Linked DNA regions of Schizosaccharomyces pombe. Changing the gene in region 2 together with the main gene of any one other region gives a genetic interaction. Each region holds a gene or a part of one and is shown on either strand. Other genes may lie near its edges.

What was found. A genetic interaction does not mean that the proteins touch.
Region 1: mutations in get1 (region 2) and ung1 together harm fitness more than expected from each alone (negative genetic interaction), as found in Schizosaccharomyces pombe (2 studies listed by BioGRID).

What each region holds. Positions count from the first base shown.
Region 1 is NC_003421.2:601,248-604,933, reverse strand, and holds ung1 (uracil DNA N-glycosylase Ung1), read right to left. Parts: upstream 1,961-3,686; 5' UTR 1,898-1,960; coding exon 1,671-1,897; intron 1,614-1,670; coding exon 1,281-1,613; intron 1,214-1,280; coding exon 805-1,213; 3' UTR 530-804; downstream 1-529. Other genes in the region: protein Spo13, read left to right, coding at 62-77, 129-529; DNA repair ligase Lig4, read left to right, coding at 2,131-2,362, 2,407-2,417, 2,505-2,567, 2,608-2,707, 2,773-2,869, 2,909-2,994, 3,049-3,686. UniProt on the Schizosaccharomyces pombe protein: Excises uracil residues from the DNA which can arise as a result of misincorporation of dUMP residues by DNA polymerase or due to deamination of cytosine.
Region 2 is NC_003423.3:4,314,577-4,323,216, reverse strand, and holds get1 (GET complex subunit Get1), read right to left. Parts: upstream 4,309-8,640; 5' UTR 4,271-4,308; coding exon 4,184-4,270; intron 4,136-4,183; coding exon 3,769-4,135; exon of another isoform or gene 3,676-3,768; coding exon 3,614-3,675; 3' UTR 3,098-3,613; downstream 1-3,097. Other genes in the region: vps1302 (lipid transfer protein), read left to right, coding at 1-388; protein Spo2, read left to right, coding at 595-996; SPOM_SPBC16C6.01C (lysine methyltransferase), read left to right, coding at 1,676-3,097; m-AAA protease Yta12, read right to left, coding at 4,608-6,929; fit1 (CoA pyrophosphatase (FIT) family lipid storage protein), read right to left, coding at 7,977-8,640.

The DNA of each region.
Region 1 (3,686 bases), on a different chromosome or scaffold from region 2:
GTACTTTTGAAAAAAAAGTTAGCAATTAGTATTTTATAGGAAAGGAAAAAAAATTGAAACAATGATGAGCAATTCTCGTAAGGGACAACATGACAATACAATATAAAACAATTTTTTCTAACATGTAGAAATTTCAAAGCTTTTTAGCTCTATCTCTAACAAGGAAAATTCGAATGAAAATGCTTTAAAAGAAAGCACGAATAAACAATTAAACAATGCCAATACTTTAGCAATAACCCATTTGAAGGAACAACTTTCGAGAGAGGTTCAACGAAGAGAAGAGTTGGAAGGATTGCTTGAGCAAAGTCAGAAAGAAATGGAAGATTTATCGGTTTCACTGTTCACTGAAGCAAACGAAATGGTGGCCAAGGCAAGGCAGGATACAGAAGTATTAAAAAGAGAATTGGACTATCTCAGGGCAAAAGAAAAAGGACGTATTGGGAAACTAAGAAGCATCCAAACTGCTGTCCGAACTTCAATCGAAGCCAGAAAATTACTGAGTTATTCTAACGAATCAAATTACCACTGATTACATTAAGTCTTTAATAAATGTGCCGTTTACGATGGATTTGACATAAATATTAAACTTTAAAATGAATGATTTAAATGTTAAGACAAAAAAAAAATAAATCCTCTGCGAAAAGAAAGACATAGAAAAATAACACACATTAAGCAAGTCCAATTGTAGGTAGAATAAAGATAAGCATGCAAGTGGTATAATAAAGCAAGCATGACAAAAGAAAATAAAAAGCTTGATTAGACCTATTAGCATCCAGTAAACGAGCAATTATTTTCTGACTTTTTCTACTCAGTTGAAGAGGATTCCAACTCGCTAGACTTTATTTTTGCTTTTTGTTCAGAAACAGCGCTCCAATTGATGCATTTTTCAGGTCCATACTGCTCTTCGAGCCACTCATTGGTTTTCTTGAAATGGTGGCATTCAAAAAAGCCACGATGTGCAGAGAGAGGGCTAGGATGGACACTTCTAAGTACATAGTGTGCTTTCAAAGGAAGACCTTGAAGTCGCTTAGCTGCTGGAGTTCCCCATGCTAAAATTACAAGACCCTTGCGATTCCGATTCAACGCAACTTGCAGGACAGCAGAAGTGAAAGTTTCCCAACCCTTGCCAGAATGAGAAGCAGCTTGATGGGCTCTTACAGTTAAACTAGCGTTGAGCATTAAAATGCCTTGGTCAGCCCAAGGAACTAAATACCTGCTTCATTAGCAAAAAGCCAAATCTTAGAAAGAAAAAATATAAAGACTAAATAATTTTAACGTACCCTGTTTTCGGAATAACAAAATCAGGATAATCGATCTTGATGGCTTTATATATGTTGACCAAACTTGGTGGACATGGAATTCCTGGACGTACGGAAAAGCAAAGACCATGGGCTTGACCAATGTTATGGTAAGGATCTTGTCCTAAGAGAATGACCTTGGTTTTATGAAGTGGAGTATGATGTGACCATGAGTAGATATCTTCTTTCGGCGGGAATACACGTTGGCTTTGCCATTCCTTCATCAAAAACTCTTTCAGATTCAAAAAATATGGCTTTAAAAATTCATCTTTTAACGCATCAAACCAAGAACTCTCCAAAGTATCAATTTCTAGTCTAAATAGGTTAACAACCTTTTCCAATTTTCTAGCCTACATTGTAAGCAATACTTACTGTAACAGCTTTCTTTGAGCAGGAGTAAGATTTTCTGCCCATTTTTCTTTATTGAACTTTGAGACAGAGTTGTTCTCTTTATTATCAAGTACCTGAGTATCCTTTAAAGCAGGCGATGAGGTGTTTGTCTTAAAAAAATTATCCAAACGTGGCTGCTTTAATTTCCCGTCAAGTTTATTAACGGTATCATCAGCTTTACGCTTATCTGTAGTATTCAGAACAGTCATTTTACCTAACTTATTAGAAAACAGCTCTCTGCTCCATAAACATACTGTCCACCGAATCGTTGCAGAGAACAGGCTTTCATGTATGATAATTAGAAGTGTTCGTACTACACACTTGACACTACCACGATAATGAGACTAAATTGATGTTTATTTCTTATCGGTTATTTATTTGAGAAATATTATTGATCATAAACTGTATTATAAAACGATTGCTTCAAGCCAAAACCTAAGATATGGACGAAGCCAAAGAGACGGTATTTACGAAACCTCAAAATCATTCAAGCACCCTTGAATTCTATGATTTTGTTACAACATTATTGGAACCGTTATCAAGAATTGGAAAGACTAGGAAATCCAAAACATCAAACCTTGACCCTTATGAATTAAAGCGCAAAATCCTCTTGGATTACTTTAATAAATGGCGACAACATGTAGGACCAGATCTTTATCCATTACTTCGACTAAGTAATTTAATATTTGTATTTTATTCCTTATACTAACTAATGGAGTGCTTCCTGATGTACGACTTAAAATTGTTAGACCACTAAATCGCATTACATAAAGTGTCTTAATCGGTGTCTTGAATTTCTAATTGCTAATTTTCTAGTTGGATCGTGAAAGAGGATCATATGGGTTCAAGGAATTTGGGCTTGGAAAACTGTTTATTCGAGTAAGTAATTAAGTTGCAACATCAGTGACTAATTAACAAGGCTATGCATTTGAGTCCTACTTCTGAAGATGCAAAATCTTTGAAAAATTGGAGAGGATCCGAGTCCAAACATACTGGAGATTTTTCTACCATGTTGCAGGGTGTGTTCATCATAGTTTTTGTATTCCAATTGATCCTGATCATATTTTAACTGAAAAAAATTTAGATATTTTACAAAGAAGGGCATACAGGACCTTTCCTGGTGCCTTTACAGTTGGTGATGTCAACGCCCTGCTGGATCAATTAGCAGATGCTTCTTCTGAGTATGTTCTAAATTTTTTACCGTATCTAACCTTAATAAGGGATACCCGAGTTAATATTTTGGAGCAATTTTATAGATCCTTGAGTCCTCTTGAGCTTCGATGGCTAATTCCCATTTTACTGAAAGGTTGGTTGGAAATGATATTTCTTTATTTATGACCTAACTTTTTTATTTCTTTAGTTCGAAAATACGGAACATCGGAAAAATTCATACTTTCTGTGTTCCATCCTGATGCAGCTCGATTATATCGACTGTGTAGCTCCTTAAAGAGAATTTGTTGGGAGCTCTATGATCCTAGTCGGTCTCTTGATGAAACTGAAACAGATGTGGAAGTCTTTAGTTGCTTCCAGCCTCAGCTAGCCAATTTCAAAAAAAAGGATCTCCATCAAACGCTGGAAGCCATGGGAAATAAACCGTTTTGGATTGAAGAAAAGCTAGACGGGGAGCGTATTCAATTACACATGAGTTCAGGAAAATTCCAATTCTATAGTCGAAATGCCAGGTCGTACACTTATGCCTATGGCTCTAGTTATTTCGATGAACAATCTAGGCTGACACAATACATCATTGGAGCATTTGACAAACGTATTTCACAAATTATTCTTGATGGAGAAATGGTTACATGGGATCCAGTGTTGGAAACAGTGATCCCATACGGAAGTTTAAGAAGCATTTTTGAAGATTCTTCCTCTCATTCATCCTACAGCCCTTATTACGTTGTGTTCGATATTTTGTATCTTAATGGGAAGTCTTTGGTAAAGTACTCATTAGAATCAAGAAGACGAATATTAGAGAAAGTAATTGTTCGCGAATCTCAT
Region 2 (8,640 bases):
ATATGTTGAATTTGGAGGTCTAATTGTACCATTTAAACCCTACGAGTCGCTCGGAAAATATATGTTAAGTTGTTTGGATGACGGCAAATATGCCTTTGATGAATATCTTTACCATGCTGAAATTCAAAATGTCGACATTCTATATATCAGTACGAAGCATTTTATTATAACCGGAAGTAATTATATTGTTAAAATCGCTGTACCCGTGAAACAAATTAGTGGTTTGCGGGTATCTGAGCATGACTTGGTTTGTACGTTGTCTAACAAGTCAGTGAGATATTTACCTTTGCCAGCTTCGCAGGAGATGAGGCAAAACTGCATAAACGCTGCATTTACTGCTTATTCAGAACATTATAGATTGCGATTGAAGCAGATATCCCCACTTTAAATTATCAATTTTTTTTTATATTTTTGTTTACTTTTTAAACTATTGTATATTTTCTTCTATTCAATTGATATTGTTTAACTGAATAGAATTCTTCTTGTTTGTTTACATTTGCTGTGTTTTGGCAGCGGTGTGAATCCCTCTTTGACTGTGAGTATCTTTCCACACCAAACTTAGAATTGTTTGTGAAAGAGAAAAAAAAACCGATTATGAGCATAACGATGTCCGATTCTTCTGCTTACGGCGAGGAATTAATGCGTGAGCGATTTGAGCACTTGCTTAAAGCTTACGAAAAAATGGCTTTGATGGTAGCAGAACAAGAGGAGTTTAATGCTAAAATTGAGGACATGGCTTTGAAATTATTAAGTGAGAAATATGACAATGAGGCTTATCAAGCTGAACTGTTTTATCGCTTGTCTAATTGTGTGGAAAAAGTCCTGCACAATAAAATAAGTATCACTGATCTAAAGACTGAGTATGAGGAGATTCTTGAGCAAACGCTGAAGAAAGAATGCAAGGCTTATGAAAGATCTTGTATTGAGAATGTGAAATTAAAGAAAAGAACAGAACAAGCAACCGCATATTATGCTAGTTCCTCAAGCGAACCGTAAAAAATGGGACATATGAGTCGATGTAAATTTCTTCGAATTTATTAGTTATTAAGCATACTCAGTCTATGTGTATCTTTTCCTTCTAAAATTTGACATGACAATTTACGACGGATAGTGAATGGAAGTAATGTGCAAACTATGTCATATATTATTTTTAGTTTTTTACATCTCTCCATTACTGATGGAAGTATCTACTGTTTAATTATGAATGTTTTATAAATGAAATAATTTATTTGTATGAAAAAGCATTATTGCGAAAAGTCTGTACAACTCTTGGTAAAATTATCACCATGAAGAAGCTTTTTATATTTAAAGCGTTTGTTTATTACCCCTTTTCAATCGTATTCAATCATATTCTTATAGTAGTTTTTATATTTACGATCCATCCTGCATTGCCCTTCTGTATCGGACAGGTTGAAAACGCGTAGCGGATTAAAAATCAAGTTTGAACAGACTAATGTGCTTTATTAAACATAATTTGAGAAATTAATTATCTTCTGTTCTAAGATACGTTCAAGTTTTACTCAAAAAATCAATGTGTACATCAGAAGGTTGGAGTATTTACCTACGCTTAAAATCAAATTTGCTTTGAAAAGATATTAACTTTCAAATGTTCAAAATTGCCGGAAAGCGCATAAAAAATATTATTAACTACTTATTAAAACATGTTAAATAAAGCATGAACAATTCCAAGCAATTTTTGAAGTACCAACCCTTACTTGAATGGCTAGCAAAACACGAAGCTTACATTTCACCCAAACTGTATATCGCTTCAAGTGGGGTCGCAGGAGATGGTATATTTTCTACCTTTGATATAGATGAACTTGAAGTTTTAGCAAAGATTCCTAGAAGGATCATTCTGAGTCCTCGCAACTCAAGATTTGGAGATTCGTTGTATACACATTTTAATGAATCTAATCGGTCTGATGATATTAACTTTGACAATAGAGATCAGGTTGGGCTGGTCATGCTCGTTATAACTGTAATATTGGAAAATATAACAGATAGTCCGTGGAACGCTTATTTAAACACCTTGGACGAAACTTGTATGCCTGATTCCCCATTATTATGGAAAGATAAAACGTGTCTTGAGGGAACCTCAATGCTTGATGTAATAAATACAAATTTAAGAGTATACAAAAATCAATATGATCAATTGGTCCGCCCTTACTTTTATAAACATGCTGATCTCAAACAGCTTTGTCCAAAATGGAATCAGTATTTAGAGACTTGTGTTCTCGTCCAAAGCAGGTGTTTTTACGTTAACAGCTACTACGGTTTATCTTTAATACCCTTTTTCGATATTTTTAATCACAAGTCTGGTCCAGCTATTGCTTCGCTACATTGTCAGGAGTCAAATGATCATAAAGGCGATATCAAAATAGAATTTATTTCTTTTCAGTATATACGAAAGATGTCCGAAATATTCAACTCCTTCGGAAACTTTGCCGCTGATGAATTGTTCACGCAGTATGGATTTATTGATACCGCTTGCAAAGTTTGGCGCGTCGACATGACAATGATTGCTTATGAAACTAACAGAAATTTTTATATGGAGTGGATTCATAAAAAAAGAATAATCAACACCCAGGAGTTGCTGGTCACCCCAACTACATACGCAAATGACAAGTCTGAGACTTTACGTTCAGTAATGATAAGACAACCTATGGATCTTTATATAATAACAGATCATGGTCCCAGTTACGGGCTTTACTTATATTTATTTTTTTGCATTTACAAAATCAAATTCCAAAAGTGCGATATGAATATAGTAATGCTTACAAAGTATTTTAATGAAATCTGGGCTGTGTTTATAGCACATAAGGAGGGAGAAAAAGAAAAGGTTGTTGCTCAACTCTCTGGTTTTTCTTTTTATTGTAAGGCTATAGAATTTCTACAGATGCTGTGTCAAAAGCGCATTAGTCGTTTCAAAAATGGTGGGTTGACTGCTGAAGCTTATAAGACTCTATTGTGCGATCCGACTCTTAAACGAGAGAATAGGTCTCGTTTAGTCTTACAAATTTTTTATCATGAACTTAATTTACTCGAAAAATCAATGCAAGAAACAATTTATCTTTGTACTGAAAATTTTGAAGATTAAAAAAACAACATACAACGGTTGGAAATGTTGCATAAAAGGAAAAGGTAAGATCGAAGTTCAGCTTAAATTTTAATCATAATTTTGTGCCCTTCTTAATTAACATTGTAGTAACTTTATGATGTTTTCCAAAACCCTGCATCGTTCCCTTTCTAGATGTCCTGTGTAATAAATAACCTATTTGCCATTTCAAACTTTCGGTATAAACAGCATCAGAAATATGAAAGCGTCAAATTAAGCAAATGAATTAGTAGGCATAGAAATAAGAAATCCGATGACAATTTAGATGAAAACCAGTGTAGAGCACATAAAGTGTACAATTTGTGAAGGAATAACATAATATTAATCGTGCATGGTAAACTATGCTTTCCATGGCATTCTTTCTTATGAGAAAAGGAAGTAGAAAACGCATTTATAAAATGACTTTACTGAAAATACATATGGCATCTTTTTCCCTTTAGTTAATTAAACTAAATGATAAAATATTAAAATTAGTCACCGTCTTTGATGATTTGGAGATCAAAATATCCCGGAAATAGTTTTTTGAACCGCAAAATTCCAAACTGTTAAGCTAACCGATCCTACATGCCATGTTAGTATTTCAGCTGCCATTGTGATAAATGAAAATAAAAATAAAAAAAAGATTTTCAGAATTTTCATTAAAAACAACATACCGTAGATTGATCGTGGAAGAGATAGCACCCATAGAGCCCAAGAAGGAAGCAAGAATGCAGGGAGGAAAAAGACAGGTGTTTTGGACTCTTTGAATTGAATATAAAACCGGAATCCACGGGTTAAAATCCAAAGAAAAAGGCTTAAAACCCGCTTGAAAGTATCTTGGAAAATTTTAACATTGGCTGATTGTTTTTCCCACTCTTGACTGAGTTGTTCATACTTTCTATTCAGACGGGCCCATTTAGCAAACTGATCTTGACTGCTAGTAGCGTTTAGCTCTTTCTTAACAGTAAGCAGCTGCTCTAAAATTTCTTTGTTCTTCTTTAAATCTTTATTATTAGAAACACTAACGTAAATTCGATAAGCCTTTCACATTATTAGTTTTCTTTACAACAAGTATATATGTTAAATTACCCCATCAATAGTCCTTTTTTTTGCAAATTTATCGAAGAAATGAATAAATAAGCTTAATAAAATTGTTGAAATAATCAGATCCATCATAAAATATGGACTTGTAAGAAAGTACAGTGGTTAGTGTCAAACGTGTAACTGTTGAGTATCACGCTCCCTATGACATGCTGGTCTAAAGGTCGAAACTAAACACAAGTTTGTTTGTTACGATATTAGCTATTTTGTGTTAGAAAATAATAATCTATTAACCTTTTAAAGTTCAGAAGAATTGATGTTAAGTATATTTATCTAGCTTCTGTAATATTAAATAGAAAAAATAGATAAAATAGCTATATGATATTCAATTGACAAATACTTTGATCATGAGATCCATGAAAGTAACTATTTTCATTCATAACGCTTTATTTAAATTCAGTAAATTGACAAATTAGGCAGAAGGTTGTTGAGGAGATGGGGGGATTGGTGGATTTCGAGGATCGTGATCATTTTTATACTCAGACTGACGCATAAGTTCAGAAATATTTAAATGTTTGTATGCATATGGCCTTGGTCCAAGAATCGTCTCAACTTCGTTATAAGTGATGACTTCTTTCTGTAATAGACGTTGAGCAATATTTTCTAAGCCTTGCTTATGTTCTAGCAAAAGTTTCTTAGTTCTTTCGTATGCATGCTTTACAAGCTTTCGAATTTCTTCATCAATCATTTGAGCTGTAGCCTCAGAAAATGGTTTTTGAACAGTTTCCCGAGTGTCGATGGGATAAGCTATAGTACCAACAGTCGGAGACATACCATATTGGGTCACATACGCTTGAGCCATGCGCGTTACTTTTTGAAAATCATCGGAAGCTCCCGAAGTAATCTTTTCTGGTCCAAAAAATATTTCTTCAGAAACACGCCCAGCCAAAGCCATTCCCATTTGATCTAAAATCTGCCCTCGACTCATCAGATACTGATCTTTGGGTAAATAACTAGCATAGCCAAGGGCTTGAGCTCTAGGAATGATTGAGACCTTCAATAGTGGATCGACGTACTCCATAAACCAACCAGCTACCGCATGTCCAGCTTCATGATGAGCAACGGTGTTTTTTTCTTCAGGACTTAGTACCCTACTCTTCTTTTCCAAACCTGCCGTGACTCTTTCAATAGCTTGCTCAAAATGTACCATTTGGACTTCATTACTATTTGATCGTGCTGCAATTAACGCTCCTTCATTACATACATTCATTATATCAGCTCCTGTAAAACCAGAAGTTAGGACGGCAAGACGCTTGGCAATTAAGTCGATGTTATCGGCTGCCTTAATATGCTTAAGGTGGACCTTAAATATTTGTTCACGACCGCCAATATCAGGACGATCAATCGTAATTTGACGATCGAATCGACCAGGACGTAGAAGTGCCGGGTCCAATACGTCTGGTCGATTAGTACCAGCGAATACGACGATATGTTCGCTAGACGTAAAACCGTCCATTTCAACTAATAGCTGATTAAGAGTGCTTTCGCGTTCATCATTGGAACCAAATTGTCCTCCACGTCCTCTTGCTTTACCAATTGCATCAATTTCATCTATGAAAATAATACAAGGAGCGTTCTTGCGAGCAGTAGCAAAAAGATCTCTTACGCGGGAAGGTCCAACACCAACAAACATTTCAAGAAACTCAGAACCTGACACACTTAAAAAAGGGACGTTAGCTTCACCAGCGGTGGCTTTAGCAAGAAGAGTTTTACCGGTACCAGGAGGACCAGAAAGAATGGCACCACGAGGAATTTTAGCCCCCAACCTTTCATAAAACTTGGGATTTTTTAAAAATTTGACGAATTCCATAATCTCTTCTTTAGCCTCGTCAACGCCAGCGACATCAGCAAATTTTATTTTGATATCAGTTTCATGATTAAACATCTTCGCTCGGCTCTTACCAATTCCAAAAATGCCACCTTGACCACCTCCTGCGGCACCCGAAGCCCGTCGCGATAAATAAATGACACTTCCAATGATCAGTAAGGTGGGAGCAAAAGACAATAAAGTAGCAAGAACAGAGACTTCGTCATGATAAGCGACAGGGACAAATTCAGAAGGTGGAATACCCAGTTGACGTTGTGCATCCTCTAGTTTTCGATCGAAAGAGTCGATGGAACCAATTGAAAAATAGTACTGCCCTGAACCTGAAGCTACACCGCCTCTCAAAATAACTCTAACCATATTGCGGTTAACAACAACTAGCCGTTCAACTAAACCCTTGTCTAAAAACTGTTGTCGAAAATCTTGCCAAGTAATTTCTTGCATATTTGCATTAGGCGAGAGAACATTGTAAAGGATATAGGCAACTAAAATTCCACCTAAAATAGTGTTGCCATTTAAGGCTATTTCAAAAACTTTTTTCGGATCATTGCCATTCAATCCCTTCTTTTTTGAATCATCATTTTTCTGGCCATTTTTCCTACCATTAGCATCAGAATTGGATCCTGAAGACCCATTTTGCGATCTTTTTGAGGTTACGCTAAATTGTTTAGATGAAATGAGAGGGATTTTATGTTTTTCCGGTATTCCTTTATTTATTTTAAGGGACTGAAAAGATCTCTGAGAAAGTGAGAGAAGAGAAAATTGTGAAACAGCTGTGGAACGTGTAGAAAAAGTATAAGCCCTTGCCAAACGCAAAGAAGAAAAATTATCCTTCTTTACGAATTTAGAAACCAGGTAATCTCCTGTTTTCCTAGTAGGTGCCCTAAACGTCAAAAAGGGATTTCGCATAAGGAATATTATATGGAAATAAGTCGCAGGGTACAATAACTTGAATTGAGCGTGTAAGGGCAAGTATAATATATAAAACCCTCAATATCGAAAGAGATAAACGTAAATGATTGTTTTAAGAAAAATATCCTTCGTATATGACGAGTAAAGGTGGATTCTAGAATTAAAAAATTCAAGAAAGCAGTAATTAATCGTTCAATTCAGTAATTGAGACCAAAACGAATAGAGACGAAAAGTTATAAGGTTGTATTAAAATAAAAATTTATTATTACCTCCGGACATGGATTTGGGCAACCTCCAAAAAGCGTTATGAAATTGAAGAAATTCCAATGTTTCACGTCAGCAAAAATGGTAATTAAAAGGAATAAGAACACAGTTGTCACTTTTTTTTCAGCTCAATAAACCCGTTACTAATCCTGTCAACAAAAAATAGCCTAAAGGAAGGATAATATAGATGCCTTGGACTTGTGTGTTGTGGGTAGTGACAACCTTCCGAAGCATTAGTCATTTATTATGGGCACCGACCGTAATGAAATCAACCAACTTCTTAGCATTGTCTCTATTAATTACTATAGATTTACTAAACGTATTACAAGTATATTGTTGACAAATTAAAATACATTATAATTTGCTGAATGGATAATATTAGCGAGTTGATTTACATTACTAACTTAGATACCATAATAAAAAACATTTATGCATATTTGTATCAAAAAAAAAAAAGGAATAAATAATAGTCACTATAATATGCAAGCTTGATAAAGAAGAAACTTTACGGCTATCAAATATATATGGAAGAACGCATTTTCACTCAAAACAATTGACGAGTATTTTTCCCAAGTAAAATACTCTCTAAAATATACTTAGTTTTGGTAAATAATGAAAAGATTTTTTTTATCATGATGGCACTATCGTAATAATCGACAGAGAGATAAAAGGGTCATAAACAAATAAGTTTAGAGAAGGAAGGATATGCTATGTCACAAGTGTTGCACTATATAAAACAATCATTTAGAAGCATAGTTTAAGGACAAATGGTGGTAAAGGCTAGTAATCGGAGGATCCTAAAAGATCAGCGACCGCTGGCATTCTTGAAGAGAACACGTAAACAATAGACCATTCTAAAATACCAGAGAAAAACCCGGTACATTTTTCAAAAGTAGTATGGTAAAAGGATGCAGTAACAAATAACATCCACCACCAAAGTCCAAGAAGACCAAAAAGTACTTTAGTAGATGTAGCTTTTATTCCATTATTCAAAATAAATGAAAAGTTTTCAGACAACATAAACAAGCTCGAGTGAGTTAACAAGAAAACATGGCCCGAGAGATCATGACCACCAGACCAAGATCCGTTTAATCCCTTGCAAGTGGAGGCGGTAAGTGGAATGAACACAGATGAATCACCATCAAAGTTTTTGCAACTTCCGCCAGATAATGCAAAGGTTCTATCAATCAGGCCAGGTCCTATAAACCATTGGGTTACAAACATCCACCATAGAGTGGCCACTATATACCTTGAAATAAACTTGAAGTCAATTTTGTTTCTCTTTTGATCCCAAGCATGATAAAAATATACTAAAGAAGTCCAGAACCAGCCTCTTTTTACAAAAATCAAATTAATCAAATTTTTCGAGTTTCCAAAGTAAGAGGTAATCGACCATTTGTCAACATAAATGCTATAAATGCTACCTAGAAGAAGTGTAGTGGCA